Linked DNA regions of Lepisosteus oculatus. The protein of the gene in region 3 interacts with the protein of the main gene of each other region in a pairwise test. Links are inferred from orthologs where the notes say so. Each region holds a gene or a part of one and is shown on either strand. Other genes may lie near its edges. The genes, in order: git1, sh2d1aa and arhgef7b.

The links.
Region 1: the proteins of arhgef7b (region 3) and git1 interact in binary tests that used the Homo sapiens proteins (3 or more experiments, as listed by UniProt). The link is inferred for Lepisosteus oculatus from reciprocal best matches to the Homo sapiens genes ARHGEF7 and GIT1.
Region 2: the proteins of arhgef7b (region 3) and sh2d1aa interact in binary tests that used the Homo sapiens proteins (3 or more experiments, as listed by UniProt). The link is inferred for Lepisosteus oculatus from reciprocal best matches to the Homo sapiens genes ARHGEF7 and SH2D1A.

Annotation. Positions count from the first base shown.
Region 1 is NC_090721.1:10,575,594-10,582,642, reverse strand, and holds the start of git1 (ARF GTPase-activating protein GIT1), read left to right. Parts: upstream 1-3,971; 5' UTR 3,972-4,833; coding exon 4,834-4,885; intron 4,886-7,049. Other genes in the region: ankrd13b (ankyrin repeat domain-containing protein 13B), read right to left, coding at 1,566-1,673. UniProt on the Homo sapiens protein: GTPase-activating protein for ADP ribosylation factor family members, including ARF1.
Region 2 is NC_090703.1:41,768,956-41,776,825, forward strand, and holds the start of sh2d1aa (SH2 domain containing 1A duplicate a), read left to right. Parts: upstream 1-4,847; 5' UTR 4,848-5,013; coding exon 5,014-5,153; intron 5,154-7,870.
Region 3 is NC_090710.1:25,691,372-25,699,037, reverse strand, and holds the start of arhgef7b (rho guanine nucleotide exchange factor 7b), read right to left. Parts: upstream 3,008-7,666; 5' UTR 2,738-3,007; coding exon 2,573-2,737; intron 1-2,572. UniProt on the Homo sapiens protein: Acts as a RAC1 guanine nucleotide exchange factor (GEF) and can induce membrane ruffling. Functions in cell migration, attachment and cell spreading. Promotes targeting of RAC1 to focal adhesions. May function as a positive regulator of apoptosis.

The DNA.
Region 1 (7,049 bases), on a different chromosome or scaffold from region 3:
TCTGACTGCACCACCACTGCCCCCGGCCTGCTGTCCAGTCCGGCAAAGAAGAAGATCCAGAGGAAGACAGGAAAGTCAGGAAGTCAAGGATAATAATAATAATAATAATAATAATAATAATAATAATAATAATTGCTTACACTTATATAGCGCTTTTCTGGACACTCCACTCAAAGCGCTTTACAGGTAATGGGGATCCCCTCCACCACTAATGTGCAGCATCCACCTGGATGATGCCGACAAGGGGTACCTACAGGACGTGATCTGTGATGTTCCCACTGGGAAACACAATCATCTTCCCCTGCGCCATCACCCTGCGAGCGATCGTGACGAGGAGATACAGCTCGGACCCCAGGACCAGGAGCGGGTCTTCGGCTCTCCCCCACAATCGTCACCCCGACCCCAGGCCACGCGTCAGAAAATACACACACCCCTACCCCCTACCATGCCATCGCCTCGACTTAGCTCATCCGTCTGTGTCTGGCAAAAAGGCTGGGCGACTTCCTGCATCTAAAAACGCTGTCGGCGCTGATCAGGCGCTGAAACTGCTCTATCGCTCCTCTCGCGCATTTGGAAAGCGCTGTGTGTAGTCATCCGTCCTGCGCCCAGTCTATAGCCTGCACCATGCAGAGAATCTCTTATGTAAGTCGTTTCAGAACCAGAGACGAGGGAAGATTCTCAGTGCCTTTCCTGGTCGCGTTACAAAGCCTGTCTGTCATTCCAGCCCGGTGTCTTATCCATTAGGCCCGCAGTCTGTGCATTATCCCCAACGCCGAGATGTCAGGCTTCGGTTGTGTTTTTTGGTGTTATGCTAAGTACTACATTACATTTAGTTAAATAAATGAGGCGCACGTTTCTTCCAGTGAGCTGTACTGCAATATATATAATGAGACTTCACTCCGTGCACAGAAGCAGGCACACTCTCACTACCCAGATGAAATGACTAAATCCACCTGCCACAGCCCCAGCCTGCCACACGGCTCGTGCCGCGAGGTGCCGGCTCGCCCGTCCACGCGCTGCCCCTCGCCCACCTGCCGGGCTGCACCGCACTGCCTCGCGCGGCTCGCGAGCTGCCGCGGCCCCCGCTTCACCACGCGCGCTCAACCCGCTGAAACCCGCAGGACCGTCGCCAACTTCTCTCGGACCCGCGCCGCGGAGAAGGCAGGCAGCGGACGGGCGATGGCAGCCCGTTGTGTTTTTCGGGGTTGCGAGCGCGGAGGCTCCCGATGCAATTCGAAGCCGTTACCGGTCTGCCGGTCCCCCGCCTCCGAGCCCCGAGCCCCGCTCGGACAGCCTTGGCGACGCTCAGTTGCATTTCTGCACCGGCGGCATCGCGGCTGCGTGCGGCGATAGTGACAGGAGACCCCAGCCGGCAAGCGACATCGTGTCTGCTGCCGTGCCGCCCCTCTCGACGAAACGCCAGACGATGCCGCTCTATCAGACCAGACTCCCTCGATCCCGAAATCGTTCGCCACCGCTTTTCGCGCTGTCTTCCCCACAGCCTGGGCGGCCCCCCGGCTACACCGCCCCAGCCCCGCGGACTGGGGCGCCGAGCTGCGCCTTACCTGCTCCTCCGCGGTCAGCTCCTTCTCCAGCTGGCGATGCCTGTTGTACCACACCAAGGTGTGCAGGGGGTATTTACTTTTCTCCGGAGTTCTCCTTGTGGAAATCATCCTCTGTGCATAGTTCGCTATTCTCTCTCCTCTCTTTTTTCCCCGGTTATTATATTCTCAGGATCGCCGGAGCCGGAATAGCGGCTGGTTACAGGAGCATGATACAGATATAGCGGAATAGATAGAGGGAGCAATTAACGGCCGGGAAATACAAGGCTTTCGAATAGAGATTACAAATAAAAAATAAATACATTCATATGTGACCGACTCGCCTTTCTTGGATTTTCCGATGATTCCACCTTCCTCGCCCCCTCCCTGTCTGTACCCTCTCTCTCTCCCTCCCTCCCTCTCTCTCTCCGTCTCTCGCTCGCTCTGCGAGGATGAGCGGGCGAGGGGAGGATTTTCCGCGTATTGACTCGAGCTGTAAGCAGCTCATCCGGTCTGGCTGGCCGCTGGAGTGACAGGCTGGAGCTGAACATGTTACCCGGCGAAGCACTGCTGCCCCCCGGCTCACAGACACGCGCGGCTGTGGCGGCGTCGTGCGTGTGAATGTGTGAGAGTGAGAGTGTGTGAGTGTGAGTGAGTGTGCAGGGCTCGCCGCCCGCCAGCCCGTGTGTGTGTGAGTGTGAGTGAGTGTGCAGGGCTCACCGCCCGCAGGCTCGCGTGTGTGTGTGAGTGTGTGAGTGTGAGTGAGTGTGCAGGGCTCACCGCCCGCCAGCCCGTGTGTGTGTGTGTGTGAATGAGTGTGAGTGCGTGTGAGTGTGAGTGAGTGTGCAGGGCTCACCGCCCGCCAGCCCGTGTGTGTGTGTGAGTGAGTGAGTGTGTGTGTGTGTGTTTTGTTTCGGGCTGACCGAGCAGACCTGGGCGAGTCGGTCGTGAGGACCGTGTCCAAATGTTGACGCGTCAAATTGAACACGCGGCTCGAGACGCCGGGCTTGCAACATGGTGTGGACGTGGACTCCGCCGTCGCAGCAGCCTGCGTGTATATAGCGCCTTTCTGGGCTGAGGACGCTAGGGCGGTGCCGCCAGTCACAATCACACGCGCGGATCCGATCAGAAGGACATTCCGTTTCCATTCTTCGCTTTCTAGAACAAAACGACGCAGGTGAGACTAGTCAAGGGAGCATAGTTATAAACACAAGAATCAGTTGTCTCTGCAGTTTAATTTCTCTTTTCATAAGTAGCTGCTTTGTTAATGTGGTCGCCGGTGGGGCAGGACGACCCCCCGGGTACCCCCATGAGGGGCTCTAGGCCAGAGGGGCCAGAGGGGGCGCTGTCTCTCCACGCCGCTCCTGGGGGATCTAATCCGTCTGGCGGCCAGTCTGCTTGAAGGACAGGCCAGGGCCAGGCCAGGACACTCAGTAATTCCTCATGGATCGACTTCAAAGCCCCTCGAGACGAGCTCACAGGCGAAATCTTTGTTCCAGCGCGCTGTTTACGCTTTTGCCCGGTCCAAATGTCTGGTCTCCCCGGACCAAAGTAAAATGCTAACCAAGCTTGTGGTTTATCACAGTGCTATGGGATATCTAACGTCTTAAAGACGTCCTTTTAAGTGTTTGAAAAACCGCTTTCCGGCCCAGAGGGTAATATCTTTGATCTTCTACTGCAACATTAAGTGCATGTTACCGCACTTATTTTGAGTGTCTCGGAATCTAAGGGCTTCTGAGTCTCACTTGAGGTCCAATGTCGTGGATCATCTGGACAAAACCCGTGAAGAAAACAGAAAACACTTGAGGACAAACCAGCTTTCAGGGGTATTCCTGACAAACCTCGGAGAAGCCTTTTCGACCGAGGGAAAGTGCGCACGACTTTGAAGGAATTCTTCGATATCATCTCTTTAACACCGGAGCACACAAGTCCAAATTAAGTGGAAGCGCGTTTGAAACTGAAAAGAGGAGACATTTTTATAGGCTTGGGGGATTCTGATGGAAGCTATATGCTGCTGATATCCAGGCTTTTTCCAAGAAGTAGCTGGATGAGACCTTTGGATCAATTAGCTACTGAAAACCAATTATCTAGATGGTCTTCTCGTTTGTAACCGTTCTTAATGTATTTGGTGTTTATAAACGGCTGAATTACCACCGCCTCTTGATACTCCCGAAGGTCTTGGACACCGCTGTGTTTCCAGCGCTTCACGATTAAATACAGCGACTTTTTCGACTCTACGTCAAGACGCAGGGAAACATGCAGGTTCCTCCCAGACGGGGCTACATTTGAAACTACAGTAGCTGCCTACGTAGTTAATCGCAGGTGTCTGTTTTTAATGGGAGTTGCTTGACGGTTTATTGGTGACTCGGCGGTTAGCGCTAGTGCCTCGCAGCTCTTGATCCTGGGTTCAACTCCGCATGTTCACGCACATTGCGGTGGGTTTCCTCCCACCGTCCAAAGGCGAGCTCCTGGGCTGTTAGGTGGGACTGGTCAGGCGTGCTGTAATACGACCTCAACGCCGGCAGTACCGCAAAGAGCAACAGGTGCAAGAAAATATCATTGGATTGTCGTTGATTCTTATGGTGAAAGCAAAACTGAAAGCACGGGTCTATTTTTTTAATTTCTTAAAGTCGAATTATTCATGCATAGGTGAGGGGAGAGAGGGGTGTTCGGAATAAGACAAAGCCGTGTCCGCAATGCTAGCGAGGGAAAACGATCATTGACGCGCTAAATTCGGCTCAGACTGACTGACGGACGGACGGACAGGCAGGCGAAGGCGCAGACAGAGGGACAGGGGCTGCCGTGTGCGGACCCCACCGTGCAGTTAGGAGCCCCCGGGGAGCGGGGAGGCTGTGGACGATATTTGCAGTGATCTCATTGTACTTTGTGGTCTGATGAGCAGCCCCTGGCTGCGATAACGAGCGAACTGAGAGCGACGGTGCCGGAGGAGGAGGGGAGAGCGGCAAGCAGGGGGAAGCCAGGAAAACCGGGGAAAGTGCTGCGCTTTTTCCACGCACGAACACTGCCCTCGCCTCCCTTTCAATGAAATCAATCATCCCAGTTTCCCCTGTAACCCACTTGCTCAGTACGCCGACGCCATATAGGAAAACCGGGGATATTTCTGTGCACTGGGGAGCGAGAAACGCACACACGCAGGCAGAGGCCGGGGAACCTGTTCCGTGCTGTGAGGCTTCCGGGCGATTCGGGAGCAGGGAAGCGGCAGTCCAGCCTTTTTCAGCCCGGGGAACGGAAAGGCGACTAAAATAACAACATTTCAACACCATTGGACACAATGTCCAGGAAAGTGCAAAGAAGCGAGGTCTGCGCCGACTGCAGCGCGCCGGGTAAGATTTTGTTTTTTAAAAGGCGTTGTTAGCAGCTGGTGTTTGGCAACTCGGGGAGGGAAGAGGCACTGGGATGGGAGAGGGTGACCGGAGATGGCGGTCGCATCCCGGGATCGGGGAAATAGGAAAGCGGCCCGGCGCGCTCTGTGGCCTAGATGCCCTTCCACTTGCAGTGACCATTTCTCCCAGTAAAGATTCTGCTGTGGTCGAAAATATACCTATTAACACGAAATCATACGCCACTCGTAGTGTTTAATTGTAGTATTATGTTTATTTTTTTCCAACTGACAAGGCGTTATCCCATTACATTGCGTGTGGTATCTACTGGTATATTTTTAATATTGTACACGTTTATACGAAGCGAGCTGTTCAGGGGAAAGTACGTTAAAAATCTGGGTTTTCAAATAAAACGTCTCCTTTTGTTTTGGGTAACTAGCTAGATTCTCCAGTCTAGCTGGGTAGTTGTTACCTCAATGGGTGTGCGTTACTGGGACATTAAATACCGTGATTACTGAAAGGCGAAATTGTATTATTTCTCATTAACTGCAGTTTTTTTTATTCAATCAGAAGAATAAATGGCAGTTTTAATTGGAATCCGATGTGAAAACAGTTTTGTCGATAAAGACAATTTCCACTGTGTATACCCTAGAGGCCATTACATTATTCCGAAGTCGACTGGTTTTGTAGTAGTAAGCCAGCCGCCTCCGAACATGTCGTTGCCTGCAACGCAATTTACCAGTTTTTGTTGTTTTTAAACCCTCGGAGTTTGAGTGAACCGAGTTCGGCGGATGCCTTTGCAGGCTCCAGAGCCCGGCGACGCCAGACCAGGCGCTGCTGCGCTCGGTAGGTTTTGGGGTCACAGTGTGGGCAGGTTCTTGCCGAGCCCCAGCGCCATACGTGCCGTCACCCTGAGTGACTAAGCAGTTTGTTCTTGTTTTTCGGGGGTCACACCTAGCGCAGGAGTTTGAATCTTTGAAGTGCAGCCATACATTATAAAGTAGTCGAGAAGCTGAGATTTGACAAGACACGGCTGGACGTCTGCCGCCTCCGGTTTCCGGTTTGCACAAGACGGGAGTCTAAATCCTGATTCCTGGAAAGGAAGAGGTTGCGGAGATGTGTTCGTTCTCTGTAAACGCTGTGCAAGGCCCTTCCAGGTTTTGCAGTACGAGCTGTACACGAGTATCAGGTGCAGCAACACTTCACACTTTGAGCCATATTTGGAGTAAATGCTAAAGAAAGAACTGCTGAATCTAAATACTGGGGCACAGTATGCACATTGTTTGCCTGGAGCTGGTCACTCTTGGCACTGGGACCCCAATACACACAAGCACCCCCCAGCCTGGAGCTGGTCACTCTCTGTACTGGGACCCCAATATACACAAGCACCCCCCAGCCTGGGGCTGGTCACTCTTGGCACTGGGACCCCAATACACACAAGCACCCCCCAGCCTGGAGCTGGTCACTCTCTGTACTGGGACCCCAATACACACAAGCACCCCCCATCCTGGAGCTGGTCACTCTTGGCCCTGGGACCCCAATACACACAAGCACCCCCCTGGCCTGGAGCTGGTCACTCTTGGCTCTGGGACCACAGTAGCAGCTGGCTGCGCAGCCCGGTCTGTCTCCCGGCAGCCGACTAGTCTGTCAGAGGGTCTGGAAAGTCGATTTGTTTTTGCGACGACCAGACAAATGTTGAGCTTTTTGAGAGGTGACAGGTTTTCCGGAGAGCATGAACACTCGCACATGCTGTATTCTGTAAGGGTTGGGGGGGGCTTTCAAAGCGCTTTGTTCCACAGTAGATTTTGTTCGGCTTTTTCAAACTCGACTTCCAGATAAAAGAGGCAGAGAGGGAGACAGAGATCCAGTGATATGTGATGGAAAATTGTGATATTCTGCGTAGCAGCTCATCTCCCCTAAGAACTGAGTGAACGCGAGGGGGAATTAAATTAGGATAGATGTGCTGAATTGGGCTAGAGTCGGCAGAGCTGCAGGTGGGGCTGGTCATTGTGTCCTGGCACTGGAGGTCGTGGTGCACGCAGGTGAGAGTGTGGCAAAGTGCACAAGAACATACTTTTGTGCACTTGTGTGCACGTTGCTCACCAGCGGACCTGTGAGAGGGCTCCTGCCGGGCGAGCCCAGCCGCTGGAGTCGGGGGGGGGGTACA
Region 2 (7,870 bases), on a different chromosome or scaffold from region 3:
GCTGAAAAAAATATAAACCTAAGTTAAATATTAAGTTTATATTTGTCTTGAATGTAGAATATATTTAAAATGAGAGTGCCATATAATTTAAACTTGTAATTCTAAAATTGATATTTAATTCTTTGTAAAGTCTTCACATTTTCTGTACACCACGTTTTGACCACATGCATAAAATAATTTCCAAGTTAAACCAAGGCATATTTGTGGTAATTGTGTTTTAAGAAGGGAACAACAACAATAGCAAATTCCTCCCTGCAGTTGGTAAGTCTAAAATCCATATTTAAAAACATTTGCTTGCTTTCTTACTATTGGCCCCTTTTGACATTTGATTTTGCTTCAGACAAAATAACACCTTGACATGTTAATTGCTTTCTTGTCTGACTACATTGTCCATTTGAAGAGATAATTAGCTTTTACCTTTTTTTCTGTATTAATCCAAAAATAAAGCTTGCATCAGGTCTATTCAGTTCTGTGGGAGAGATTTTTTTTAACTATGAAGGGGGTGGAGTGGCAGAGGATTTATCGAACACTTAAATTTCCGTTTACGAAAATCATCAGTTTTAAATCATGAACATTTTAAGTTGCTTAGCACTCACTTTTGAATAAAGGTACAACAAGCCACTTTACATCATTGTTGCAAGTTAAAAGACCACTTTCATTGTCGAAAACTAAAATAAGGCTTGGAGTCGTAAAGCTGATGCAAAAGCTGAAACCTTGTTGCGTGAAGTTTTTATTGGAGTATTTGAACCATTTTAGGTGTCATTAGGTAGAATCATAACTTCTAACTTGCAAAGTAGTCCATTGGCTACAGTTCTGTTTGTTAAAACTGCTGTAAAGGTTTTTGAGTGATCAATTTCATAGCTGTTTTTTGTTAATTATTTTAAATTGGGATAGTTTTACATCTTTTAAGTTGCAAAATTCCTGTTGCTTTTCTGAATAGATTTCTTCTTGTGTACCTGTAGTACGATAGATTGTATGAACATTGCACAAGGTAATGTTCTAAGAATCTCCCGTGCTTTATAGAAGCTGCTATACATAAGGCAAGCAGTTTAATGAAAGATTGTTTTAAGCTATGAAGGGGGGTGGGGTGGGCGAGAATTTATCAAGCACTTTAATTTTCTGCTGTTTACACAAATCTTCATTTTGTTCGTTTCATATCTTTAATATTTTAATTTAGTGTGCACTCACTTTTGAACAAAGGTAACGATAAGTAACTGCGTATTGCAAATTGAAAGACCACTTTGCAGCTACTGTGAAAGTCAAAACATGAACAAGTCTAGTTGTTTAAGTCTGTTCTTCAAAATCGTTAACCGCTGTTGTCATGGTTAAATTGTTGAGGACTCCCTCTTTTCTTTTAGAAGTGGGTTACAGTTGAGTTTTTTTTCTCAGTTTCAGTAAAGACGGCAAGTGGGGCATTCCTGTTATTGGGGTTTCTTTCTAATGCATGGCATTCTCGATCGAAAAATGTACTAAATACAATTAGAATGACTGGAATATTGAGAAGTCATCTTTAAGAGTTTTGCGTACACATTTTAAAATGTAGCATGAAAGTGAACCAGTTTGATAAATGGAAGGCCCATACTCACTATATTTAAACTTGTTTCTCTCTAATCTTTTATACATTGAAGTGAGAAAGGATTTCACTTTCTGATTTATATTAACGATGGTCTTGGCGTGTTCCAGGATAGATTTTTTTCTTCCTGTACTTCGCCATTCTATAGTACTTGCCCAATAGACAAAGTTACATTTACAAGCAGTGCATAATCTCTTCAACGTTGAGGGAACACAGAAAAGGATGGACAGTTATGTCTTTTTATCACAGGCTTCATCTAAATCTTCAGCAGTGATTACTTCTTGGAATAAAGAATCGAATGTCACCAAAGAGGCCATTTCTTAGGACAATAGTTGGGATATTGCAAATTTATCTTGCATCCTACCTAGAGATGCGAGTTGGGCTGAATGGCCGCTGCTTATGTTGTTTCAAGTGTCAAGATCATTTGTAGATGGTGTCATTGAAACTAGTTCCTAGTTCCCTGTATTCCTCTGTAATGTGTTCCTGTAGTTCCTTCTACACACTGGTCGGTTCTTTAACCACTTCTTTACATGCTTTTGGTGTGCCCAGGGGTAAAATTCTAGAACCCTACTTCATGTTTTTTCTACTCTTCTAAATCGAGAGATTCTCACTTTGCACTTGGTACTCTTGCTAGATAACTAATTTGGATCTCTCACAGCGGCAGAAACAGATATGGCTGTTTGGCATGACTGTGCTGTTGCTGCCAATGCTTTTGGGAGTCTCTTCATTCCTTCTACTGGCATCGCTGGATTCTATCCCATTGTGATGTTGTTTATATAGACCTTTCAATTGCTAAGTCTACGAATACGTTAAGGCTTAGATTCGTAAAGCTGAAAGCCTTGTTGCATGAAGGTTTTATTGTAGCTGTTTTAGGTGCTTTTAGACGGAGACCTGGAGGGAACTACTACTGAAGGGGGGTTGAGGAGGGTGTTGATATCTTCAAGATTCTGAAGTAGTCTGTGTTGGCTATAGTTCCACTTGTTCAATGTAAAGGTTTTGCCAATGGATACATTTCATGTCTGTTTTTTTAATTGTTTTAAATTTTGATAGTTTTACATCACAGTTGCAAAATTCTTATCTGTTGCTTTTCTCAGTATATTGTCGACGTGTCTGTATTATGACATATTGTATGATCGTCATACAAGGTTCTGAGAATCCCTCCTGCTACATAGGCCAGGCAGTGTAATGGAAGGATGCACACTGCTACCTCACGTTGCAGTTACCTTAAAGATGTTATCTTTGATTTAAGGTTGATTTTGCACTTATGGGAGAGACTGTATTAAAAGAACGTGCAACCACATTCAGTTAAGCTGCGTCATGATTGACAAAGCTTCTATTGTTTCAAAAGAGGCATAAATTGGAAAAGTACAGATACTATCTGCTCACCTGTTTCATAACAAAAGTAGAATTAACGAAAACCAGGTGGTTTGCCGGAATATTCTCAGGAAATTAAAATCCTTGCACATAACATGAAAGAACTGAAACATTTGTGGTAACTGATAGTTATCAGTTTTACATTAGATGGTCTGATTTGCAGAAAAATGCTTTCAAGCGGAACATTTAATGCAAACCTGGTGAAAATGCAGTTAATGTGATAACTGTAAAAAATTGTTTTTAATTTGACTCATGTGACCTTAACTTAGTCAGCTACACATTTAAGTGTATAGTGGTGGAAGTAGCTCTTTTTTTTTACTACTTGAACATTAAGTATTTTAAAGAGGTTATAAATATTTAATATTAAGTATAGGTGTACATTAAAAAAACAATGTCCCTCTGATGCTTTAAACATTTTAGACATTGGATTTGAAAATGTGCTGTCTGATTAGCAATAATGAAAGAGGTGCTGCTTCTTCAGGATCAAGACCGTTTATCACTTAACCCACATACAAGATACAAAGCGTGAAAAATGAAGGCTTTGAAAATGGGTTCAAGTTGTTTTCAGCCATTGAAGTGTTAGACACTTAAACCATGTGTACAGATCTTTCCAAAAGTTTACGTAAGTCCATTTACATTGATATTACATCTTTGGGAGTGTACACCATTCTCTACAGCAACTCTAAATTAGCACGTCTTTATCCTAAGAAAGTTGTATCCTCACCCGAAAAGTTTCAGGTTTTCTAGACATGTTCTGACATGTTTATCTATACAGCATTAGGGTGTTGCTGTCTGAAGCATTGTACTGAGAATAAACAGACATTTTGTTAATAAAATACTATTTTTTCTTGTGTGGTATGGTTTAATGCTGTTTAATTCCTTTATTTTTATTAGGATGAAATTCCCTGTGAATATTACATCCAGGCTTTTCATGTTTGAAGTTCAGAATTCACAAGTAGGTTGTGAAATTGCAACTTTAGCAACAAATGTAAGTGATGAAATTAGATTGGTGTATAGTTACTCACCTACCATGTTATACGGGATATTAATAGGCAAAGTATTAAGTGATTCAGGCTAAGAGAAGTTTGGCAGCTGTGGTCAGAAATGAGATTCGATCCGCTTCTTCAGTGCTTCTCTGACCTCGGTGCCTTACAAGTGTCAGATCTGTTCAGCCAAAAGACCAGTGATGTGACCCAGTGGGTTTGGAATGCTTTTAAAGTTCCAGTGAGGTTACATTACTTTAACAGTTTCATATACCACATTATCCCAGTTAGACTTTCCCCTTCTAAATTCTATGCATCTTCCCATGACTGACAGGCAGCAGTCTCAGTGATTTAGACTAGTTTGTAACTTGCTCATAGCTGGTATTGGATTGCTCTCTCTCGGCCGTCTTCCAGCCCTGAGCTTTCTTACAGGGCTTCAGTGTTTGAAGTTCATATCAGTTTCATTTATGAATACAGTAAATGAAAAGATTTGTATCTGTAGATTTTCTGCTACCTCAGGTCACGTAAAAAACAGCTAAAAGATCCAAGGATCTTGCCCAGCTTTTTTCTTGAAAGAACCCTGGATATTAACTATAACATCGTAGCTGGCAGCTCATTCAATACACCCACAAGCCAACATGTAAGGGAGACCCACATTTTCTTGGTTTAAAATGTACTTCCGCACAAAACCATAATATGGAAACCCACATTTTATCTGGTGCTCATGTAATATGTACCTACAGAATGAGGAGCTTATGGGCCACAACACAACAATTCAAGCTGTCCCTTGTGTGCTAGCAACAAGTTTTATGAGTATAGTTTCTTGACTCTGGAAGAGGAACCTTTTTTATTATAAATAATTTAACAGAAGCTGAATAAACCTGCTGACTGGCCAATTTACAACAAGAAACAGAACCAACTAATTTCATTTTGATGTTGGAGATGGAGAGACTGAACCACTTGTGATGTTATTTCCTGTGTTTCTTTCTTTCTATTCGTTATTATCTCATTTCCTGCACACCCCAGTTATTTGAACACTTCTCTGACAATACTTGCAACTTGCATCACCTTGGTTTTAGCAGCATGATGGATTCTTTGTCTGTTTATCATGGAGGCATCAGCCGGGAAACAGGTGAAAAACTTCTGAGTGCTGCTGGGAAAGATGGCAGTTATTTAATACGAGACAGCGAGAGCGTGCCTGGTGTATATTGCCTCTGTGTGCTGTAAGTATTGAGACAGATGCATTGGAAAATACATTTTCAATTTCAGTGCAAATTACAGTATCAGTGCCAGACTTCAGTCATCACAAATTCAGCAGTGATGGAGAAAAATGGTTCTCTAAAAAAAACTTTCTCAGAACATGATTGAAACTTTGTTGATTTGATGTACAAATTATATTTTTGGCAACAGCAGCACTGCTTATTGATGTTCACTTATGTTCAAAACAGTTACTGTAAAAAGCTAATTAGTGCATGTATTTTTATTGTATGTATACATTTTAGCTAGAGACGTATGTCTTCTGTACAGTTATTATTCACTTTAAAAACTAGGATTTGGCTCATTTAAGGTAATGTATGTCTTCACTAATTTAAAGAAATTAAAGAGATTAATTTATTGTTACATACTAATAAGACTGCCTCTTATTAACGTTTTTTTTCATGTTGAGCACAATGTCTTCATTCAATGGGCTTGGATCTTCACTAGTGAAACTACATTATAAAGTTAAAGTGTAGTCCAAATTGAATGCAATACAACTGACACCTAATCTGATCATGTTGTGCTGGAAAGAGTTTGAGTTTCAATAATGGTTGTGAATTTTTCAAATATTTGATTTATTAAATAATTACAAATATATTCACCATCTAGTGTTATTGGAATATGTCTTTGCTCTCTTCGTTTGCTTCGTTTGCTATTTAATGCCTGTGTTACCACAATTACAGAATTAAGATAATTGTAAATGTTAACCTGATGTTAATAAGTATCTCAGCATATAATTGCACATTATCGAATGTACTCTTCACTACATCATTATAAACACACTTTTACACATTTCGCAAGTCCATGCTGGCAAGTCAAGGTCTATAAATCCACTTTATAATCTAGGACATTTTCTTTACTTTAATATATTGGTATTGTTGTAGAGCAGCAACTACAGTCTAACTCTAAATGCTAAAAAAGTAGAAAGCAAAAAAAAAAGTTTGGCTGTGAAGCTTTATTTGGGTATTTGAGAGAGAAAGATTGCAGGATAATGAAACAGAGCTGATTGATAACCCCATCACTCTCAAGTAAAAACTGATTACTGATTGTAATCTTGACAAAAATTGTATGATTTGGTATTATTGTGCAATATAGTACATTAATTATTATGACCCCAAAAATGTAAACGTACAAGTTAAGGATAAAAGTGAATATTCCTGATCTTACAGTACATTGTTCACCTCATGCATTCCGGCCAACAGGATTAGCAGTTTTGTTAGCCGGAAAACCAAAAGTAGCCAAAAGATTTTCTGTCTGCCGTATTTGAAGCCCTCAGCATGTTTTAGATACTGCGTAATGAAAATGCACAGTACAAATGGCACACAGAAGAGTAGTTATTTGTATATTTACAAACATTTGGAAGCGAAAATGTATCCTGGACTATTACTAGTTCAAACCAAGTGGGAGCCGCCATTCGGTCTCTGGGCTTGTCACTGGATAAGTATTGTAATGTTTAGTAAATGAATAGCTCTTAAAAGAGCCATTGAAAAGGAGAGTTTAGTTGTCATTGACATCATTTCTTAAATTTAACCCACTGTTTGCTGCTTTTCTTTATGTAGGACACTAAGCTTTTAGTTTCTGTAGGCCCACCTCATTGCTGCAAAACTTAAATCTGGAGTCTCGCTTTATTTCAGTTAATTTTATAGTATTCCCATTGTTGTGTGCATTACATCATTTTTGCAGAACCCACATTAAAAAAACAAATTAGTGGGTTGCTGATATATTGCGTTTACACAGAAACAATGAAGCTTGAGAACAGAAGGTGCTGTGTGATGGGCAATCAACATAAAAAGTAATGTTGGATCGAAATGTGTCTTGCTAAATTGAGTTCACTGTTGAGTTCAGTGAATATATGGAGTATCAGGCTTTTTCTCAGGTCGTTGGTCATACCAAAGATTTGTGCATTGCATAAATTAAATTGTTAATAAAAAGATCTATAAGTAATGTGATGACGGTATGTTGCATTATGTGAAATTGTGTAAGCAGTACTATATGGATTTTAGTACTGCTAAATAATGGTTGTAGATGTTTCTGCTTCAACCTCAGACATCTATAGGAAGAGTCTTTATGACAGGTTACATTTTTTTTCCGTGGGATAAAACGAGTTCAGGATGTTTTTGTAAACAGTTGAATGAAAACAAATAGAAGTACTAATGTGTGACATAAAACTAGTTTTTGCAGTTAATATACAATGTAGGTAGCTGCAAATTGAAGTATTATACCCATGTCAGAAATAAGATTATTCAGTGACTCATTAATTATACTGTATATAGGAAATATTCCTTGTTAAACTAGTTTTGAACGACTTATTTATGGTATCAAGTAGAGGTTGAGGTGCTATAGTAAACTAATTTAAAACAGAGTACCAATAATTTAATCTAAAAATCTTTGTGCGTTTATGTGGAGAAAAAATAAATAATGTACAGACATTCCTTGTACAGACAGGAATTGTGTCTGTTACTAGTAAACTCACATATTTTAAGTAGGTATTTTAATCAAGAAGCTCAAAAACATGTTAGAAAAATACTCCCACTCATAAGAAATTATAGCACCAGAAAGTGAGAGACATGAATGCCAGAATAGAATACAAAGGAGAAGGTAGCAGGACAAGGCGATGAGATAAAATGTTCCACTTTGGGCAGCCAAACCATATGACATTTTCTCATAGAACAGTCTTGTAATT
Region 3 (7,666 bases):
TACTTTGTTGTTGTTGGTTTTTCTAAATTCCATTAAATGCTTCCTTAATCTGAAACATTATACATATAAAAGTAATAGAATTGTGAGAAATGAACGGAGTTTTGGGGAAAAAATACTTGCAGTGTCCCCCCAAAACACAAGGACAGCATAGTCAAGGCTATTGCTTTTGCTTTACAGTCAAGCAATTTGTATTTAAGAACAGGAAATTAATATGAGAGATGCATACAATGTAATACACTATACATTTTATTTTTAGATCATGTCATACGCACACGTGGTCATATTAGTGCGAAAAACATACTTTTTGTTGAACCCGGTGATTTCAAAGGACCAAAGGTATTGGGACACTTTCACTTTAAGTACATTTCAGAGTGTAAAAGTCAGTACATATTATCACCATTTCCCCTTGAGGCAATGACCACATTAGGCCTGCAACCCACTGAGATCACCCAGGTATCTGCGTGATCATCTGAGGGGCTTCATTAAGCCTTTGCTTCAGTAACTCAGGTTTCTTGATTTTTCCTGAGGTGTTGGGACTTTTTTTGTTCTGAACTTTTTCGTCATCATGCAAAATGCTGGTCAGCTGGAAACATGGCTTGACCATATTGGTTTGGTCAGTCTAGGACTTTTCTTTTTCTCCCAATGATAAAAGTTGTTGCATGGGCTGTATGTTTTAGGTTGTGGTCACGCTGCATGGTAAAGTGCTGCCCAACAACTACGTAAGTATCCTCTTCTGCATCCATCGCGGAGGAGCCAGGGCCTATCCCAGCAAGCAGTGGGCACAGGGCATGACCTTCCTCTACATATTCAGCGGAAATATTTCAGAATTCATTCTGCCGCTGCCATCAGTGCCTTCAAAGACCAATGAGCCAGATGTGAAGCCAGAATGTTTCACCATGTTTCCAAATTTGCTCAGAAGTACAAAACTCAGGCAGAAGATTTGGGGAACATAACTTCCAGAAAAAATCAGACCGAACCAAAACTTCACCTAAGTTTAAGTGTGGCGAAAAAATAGAAACTGCAGATGCTCCGGAAGTCATCATCTCATCTGTGAAGCCACATCAATCCCACAATCACAAATACAAATAGCCTGATTCTAAACCAAAAATAATAGTTATCACCTTGCTGTCACAATTGGGGGGCATCTGCTGTTACAGATGGATGCTGGACTGCATTGAGTTTCTCTGCTTTATATTGTTGTCGTCTTTGTGGATCTCCTACTTCTAATACACAAGGATTCTTCAATAATAAAAGTTAATATCTGGATACATGGATGATGATGTACTTTTGTGATATTAAAATTGATTTGATTTATATGTTTAAAGGATTTTAATTGTTCAAAAAAGACAGGCATTATTTACCGTAGGCTAGTTTTAACCTGAGGTATGCCCTCAAAATGACCAAAGCAAGAAGCCTGTACTAATGGCATTAATTATTGTAAATTTTCATTCCGCATTTGTGTGCTGTACACTAGGATCTTACGTCCTCTTGTTTTTAGCAGCAAATGCAAATTTAAATCTCACCTTTTTTCATGATGTAGGCTTTAGCCTTTTTTTCAAACAATTTTGTTTCATTGTTCATTAGGTTTGTTTAATGCAATGTTCATGCAATAAAATTAGTCATTTCACCTGTCGTGATTGAAGATAAAATCACCAAACTGCATTCCAGAGATTATTCAGGTACATTTCTCGTTAAGACCCAGTACATGATATTGAGGAAATTAAAGAAAGACCAATACTGAAAGAACACGACGGGAGTTCCATTTAGCTCCAAGAAGGAACCTAATAATCTGTTGGAAACGATAGCCTACATCAAAGCAATTTGTTTGTAGACTGTAGTACAGGCTACTGTAAAAACGTAACAGTAAGCTCAATTGTTCAGCACTATAAACAAGTCTGACACATGCGGTCTGACCTTCTGGTAGACAGCCGTACCCTCAAAAATGGAACTGTTCCTTTAACATTTCCGAGGGTCGTCACATACTGTGTGCGCTTTTCCAGTCAATGGCGGCCTGCTCATGTGGGATCGTATCCCCTCCACACGTAAAAAAAAATCAATAGTCGATTTTGATTTGGCGCAATTCTGTCCTCTGTCAGCGCATCACCTCCAAGTAAATAAAGCAACATAAAAAGGGGATTCCATTCTTTTAAAATCGTGTTTAAAACACATTCCCTATGTTCTTGTCTAGTGCAATTTCATAAATAAAAAAAATGTTGAAAGGGTATATTTCCCAGTGTTAGAACCAGCATCGGTTCTTAAGAGGGTTACCTCACATTCAATGATTTATGGATATTGTAGATATAGTTTGTACCTATGATATATAATAGCACCTATTGTTAGCGTCTAATACGGTAATCCCTCTCGCGTTGCGTTATTGACATCTGTGCTATATCAGTTAGCCTGCAGTAGGAGCACAATAACTACCAGACACATGACCTAAAAAGAAACATTGACCGAGACGGGGCATTAAAGGGGGATATTTTGTATTCTCCGGACGCCATCGATAGGGTTTACGCGACAAAAACACAGCGCACTGTAGCTGGGAGCGGGTAAGAATGGTAAATGTCCTTACTTTATCGATAGAACCAGGGCGCAATCGGTCCAGCAGTCTGCACAGGACCACACCATCTTTCAGAGACGATTGCAAAAATCCTTCTGGATCCGAGATGGTCTTTTTCGGCGATTCCAGGACCCCCAGAGTAATAAGCCATGTAACGGTTTGCTCTGCTGAATTCATGGCAGCATTCACGATGCAAATCCAATTGGGAGGAGGTGGGGGTGGGGGGGGGGGGGGGAGACGGGGGGCAAATTAGTTATGTGGGTAGATGTATCAATATATATTCCAATTAAAACATTTCCTCTCTACATTGGTGTGAGGTCCGGGGCAGAGACTACGGCTGATCCCTCCTTCTCCATGTAGATGCAGATGATGACGATTTGCTTTTGAAAATCCAGCAGGTCGGTTTTTGCTTTCCTCTGGGGTTGTTTTGGCCAGCTGTCAAATGCCTTTCTCTATTATACACACAACCTGCATTGCCTCCCACAAGTGATCTTCCGGCAGATGACATCATGGACACGGAAAAGCGACATGGCCACTTACAATGGTAATCAGAGAGGTATATTTGCATGGCACAGGAATACTTTTGCATGGTTTTACATGTGTGGCCTTTGAAATAGGATGGCAGCATCTGGATATGCAAAACCTCTAGCATTTTGCTTTTGTGAAAGGAAAGGCACTGTTTTGTGTGGGGGTAAACCTGAACTGGGAATAGTTCTCACCCCTGTGTTGCCTGTAGTGTATTTTATTGATTTAGTATTTGTGTTATAATTTGACAATCTCGAACCTCGAAAAACACATCACTGATATTTACAAAAAATGATAGTGGGCGTTCAAAATATTTTTCTAATTAAAGGGTAATTCAAATTATTTACGCATCTCCCAAAAAAGCTTCAGATATAGCACCTTAATGCTTTTGGATACGAAAGTCCGCCGCCTTGTGGAGACTCCTAGTATGCTTTTTCGCTTAAAACGACCTGTTTTGTCCTATTTTGTTCCACGGTTTGACTTCAATGCTTTCCTAACAGAACTTGTGAATGAGCCAGACTACATGCTTTATAAACTGTCGGTTAAATACATACATTTCTCATAATCGATTTAATACATTAAAGTGAGATTTATGTGAAAATGTTTTCCTATACTCACTCAGGAGGCGGGTATGTACAAATGAATCGTCAATAAATGTTTTATTCACACAATGGCAGTTTAAGCTGTTTTATGTATTGTGAATATTTTTGTGCATTCTATGTTGTTGTTTCGCTTTTGCAGAATGCTAGATAATATTTTTTAAATAAAAGTTTGAATAAGTAACAATGAAAATGCAGTTACATTTATGTAAGGACCAACACTGGAACATACCAGCACCTTATTAGCTAGATGTGATTTTTCTTTTCGAAATTCGTTGATTTCGATTTAATTATACTGCAAAAGCAATGCTTACAAAGCGATAAAGAACTCTTATACAACAAATGGTAATCATCGTTTATTTGTTACGATCAATAAATTGACAAACACAAACTATAAGCAAAGGATACTTTAAGATATTAGACACTTGAAAATATGAATTATTTAATATTATACTAATATTCTTAATCTATAAAATGTTAGAGTTTTCGACAAAACTATACGCCGTGTAATTATTTCTGTTTCCACACGAGGGAGACCTTGCAGCGAAAATCGTTTTACAAAATTATTTTCCGTTAAGGGATTGTTTTTTTATTCTAGATCTATTTGGCTTTAATTTGGGAATTCATAGTGTTGTGTAACAACATGTATCATATCTGTTTTATATATAAGAATGATTAAAATATCATTTGTGTCTTTCTAAAATATTTTAACATCTACTATTCCTTCCTATTGCTACTACAAATATTACTACTACCGCTGAGAATAACAAACACAACAACGTTTCTGGTGATGATGACAAATTTCATGTTGGGATCTTAAATTAAAAACATGGAACAACGGGGTTAAACTTGTAATTTTCAAATGGGTCTTTTTGGATAAGCCTACCGCTAACAAAATTCCTTTCTTCATAACATAATGATTAGTTCACCTTGCAGTTTTTCTTATCCTTACGGACAGAGACATGCGATCTGTTGGTGAAATAATCACAAGACAGAAAAAAGACACATCACCATGAAGCCCAGAAGACAATTACATGTCAGGACATGACACTTGTGCTTTAGAAAAGAGGCTGAGAGGTTTAAGAACTGTAGAGACTATAAGACTACATCCTAAAGAAAGGTAGTGAAATTCAGCTTTTCTTTAATCTAAAATAAAAGCACAGCCAATTAAATCTGGTGCTTCTATCACACACCACCCTACAGGCATAAACGACTAGTTATTGTCATTACAATAAAATAGGGTAAATAGGCCCTAGTGTGGTTTTTCGTGTTTGTGTCACTGTGTGCCCTGTAACGGATATGTGTCCTGTCCAGGGCATATCCTGTGTTGTACCTGTTGGTTGCCAAGGTAGGCTCTGACACCCGAATTAAATGAAGAGAAGAATATGGATCAAATCCAAAACTTTATTTAAAACGATATTCTTGGAAGGAAGTAGATTAATGGAAGGTTACAGTGACTTAATAATATTTACCTCAACTGTATAAACTTTATGTGTATTTGCATTTCAGCACCTTGTATGATGAAGTCTGTGACATTTTAGCACAGCTGCTGCCAGCTTCCTGGCAATCAGGAAAATACTTGTGTATCACCTTCTTATCTGATGATAATTCAATTCAATTCAAAATACTTTATTCATCCCCGGGAGGGCAATTTAAGAAAACAACTTAATAGTAATCACATTTATTCTAAAGGATCTCCAAGCATGTTACATGTTGCAAGGAACTCATTTCATCCTGCAGTGACACTGACAAGGCTATGAATTTAACATTAAAATGATGAATTCTAAAAGCATACATTTAAAAAAACAAAAATCACCTGAGTTTGTTTCATATGATTTTCATCTCTCCCACCACTTACCTCCCATTTCAGACTTGTTTTTGTCTCCTTCCTTGTCTTATTGTTATAATCATATTATTGGCAATAAATACACAAACTAAACTTTTTTAATTAAAATCATTAGTCATAACACAGTCGGCTATGATTGAAGAAATGTTTGTGACAACCATAAGTCAGTAATCAGCTTCTTGTACTGCTTTTAAAATGATGTATTTTTTTTTATTTGGCTTGTTTTTCTTTCTCAGCTTTCATCCGAAATTCTTTCTAAACTGTGCTTATTTACTTCAGTCATTTTTCATTGTGGATTCATTATTTTTATTCTGCGTCCCATGGGGAACTCTTCCAGCAATCAGCACACCTGAAATATTTATGTGGTTTTGAAGTTATCGGCACTATATGCTTAAACCCTTCACTGTACATATGCTAACACAAACAGTAACACAGCAATATTACTGAGCAATACACTGCAAGAACAAAACATTGCCTGATTTCCTTTAAGGGAAATTTGTCAAGGAAAAACATGTGTTGATGATAAATGGATAACACAATGCTAACACCCATCTGCAACCTGGCATGAGTGCTTTGTTTTAAAGCCAAATTTACACAAACATCTTCTCTCTGGGTTCTGTTTCATTGTGCTGGAACAACAGTCATGTTTCAAATACATGCGGGCTGAGTCCAGGGTGCTTCATAGTAAAATTGAATGTACTGCATTACATATGTGTGGAAAAACTCACACTTGCCATACTTTGTATGTGATAAAATGTGTTTTACCATCGGAAAAATGTGAAGACAAGTTGTTTTTCACCATTCTCCTGCCTGCCAATCAGACATCAGCAGCTTTTCTAAACCAGCATCCCAGACTTAATCATAGAAGGTTCTGAAATTGTTAGCTGTAACTTTGGTTTTGAACGTGAAACTTCAAAATAAATTTGATTATTCCAAATGTGTTCTTACATCGCATTGTTTGGGAATGTGTGTAATTTACTGTCCAATGCAGGATGTGTGAAACTGATTTATGTAGTGTTAAACACTGTTTATTAAAACAATTTCTGTTTTTCCTCTATTTTCATCTGAGTGTCACTAGGTAATGGGGTACAGCCTTGGTGTTTTATTATATTCTGTATACATTAGAAATTAAGAAACTTTTTTTGTTTGCTTTCTGAAGAATTGGATGGTGGCGACTTTGAACACAAAGACCAAACAATTCTTCGTGTCAACATCAGGGGTAGCTGTGGAGTCCATCGGTCAAATTTAAAACTGGGAGTTTTAAAACTGAAATAAAAAAATCAGTTTTCTGCAATCTTTTCATTTTCTTTTTTTTTTACTGTACTCTAAAAATAAGCTTGAACACTATTTTTGAAAATGTGTTTGTTTTGTAATGATTCACAATTAGCTGAATTGATTACCTTAACATTAAGCAAAGCTTTAACGTTACAAAGGAGGGACTGACATAATTTAGAAACACACCAAAGTTTGTGAATATATTCTTTCTGGATATATCTTCAACACTGCCGGTAATGAGAGAAGCAAAACAAAGCACGTTTTCTGGAGAGACTTCTTTCAATCATATTTTAAATAAGCCCTTATATCATTCTTTCTGTCCTACAAATACTTTGCAATGGCTTAGCTTTTCCTGGGATAACCCATGCACTATGGAAAAACAGTTTAATTAATTGCATTTTTGCATAGTTAAAACGTTAGAAATCATACAAACTGAAGGAGGCAACGTGGCCCGTCAAGATAATTTGGCTGCTTTAACTAGCAGTCAAGGTATGAGCTAAGAAAACGTTTAATACTTAAAATATTTGCGATAGTACCAAAATTTTTCATATTATTTTTTAGAATATTTTCATTTTTAACAGATAAATTCTGTTATAGAGAAGAGTGGGATTTGGGGGGGGGATGTGTACATTTGTGATGAGCTAAGAACTGCTGTCGGTAATTGTTTTATACAGGAAAAGTTAAGTTGCTAAATTTATGTTTGTTCTAAAAATGCTTAATGATATTAAGATCATTAGCATTTTTTCCGTCCTGTTAATCTTGCAGGAAGTAATGCGTTCATACCACAATTTCTCAGTGGACAAGCTGGATGTCCAAATTTAGTTTCTAAAAATAGTATATTTGATTTAATTTCGCACGTAA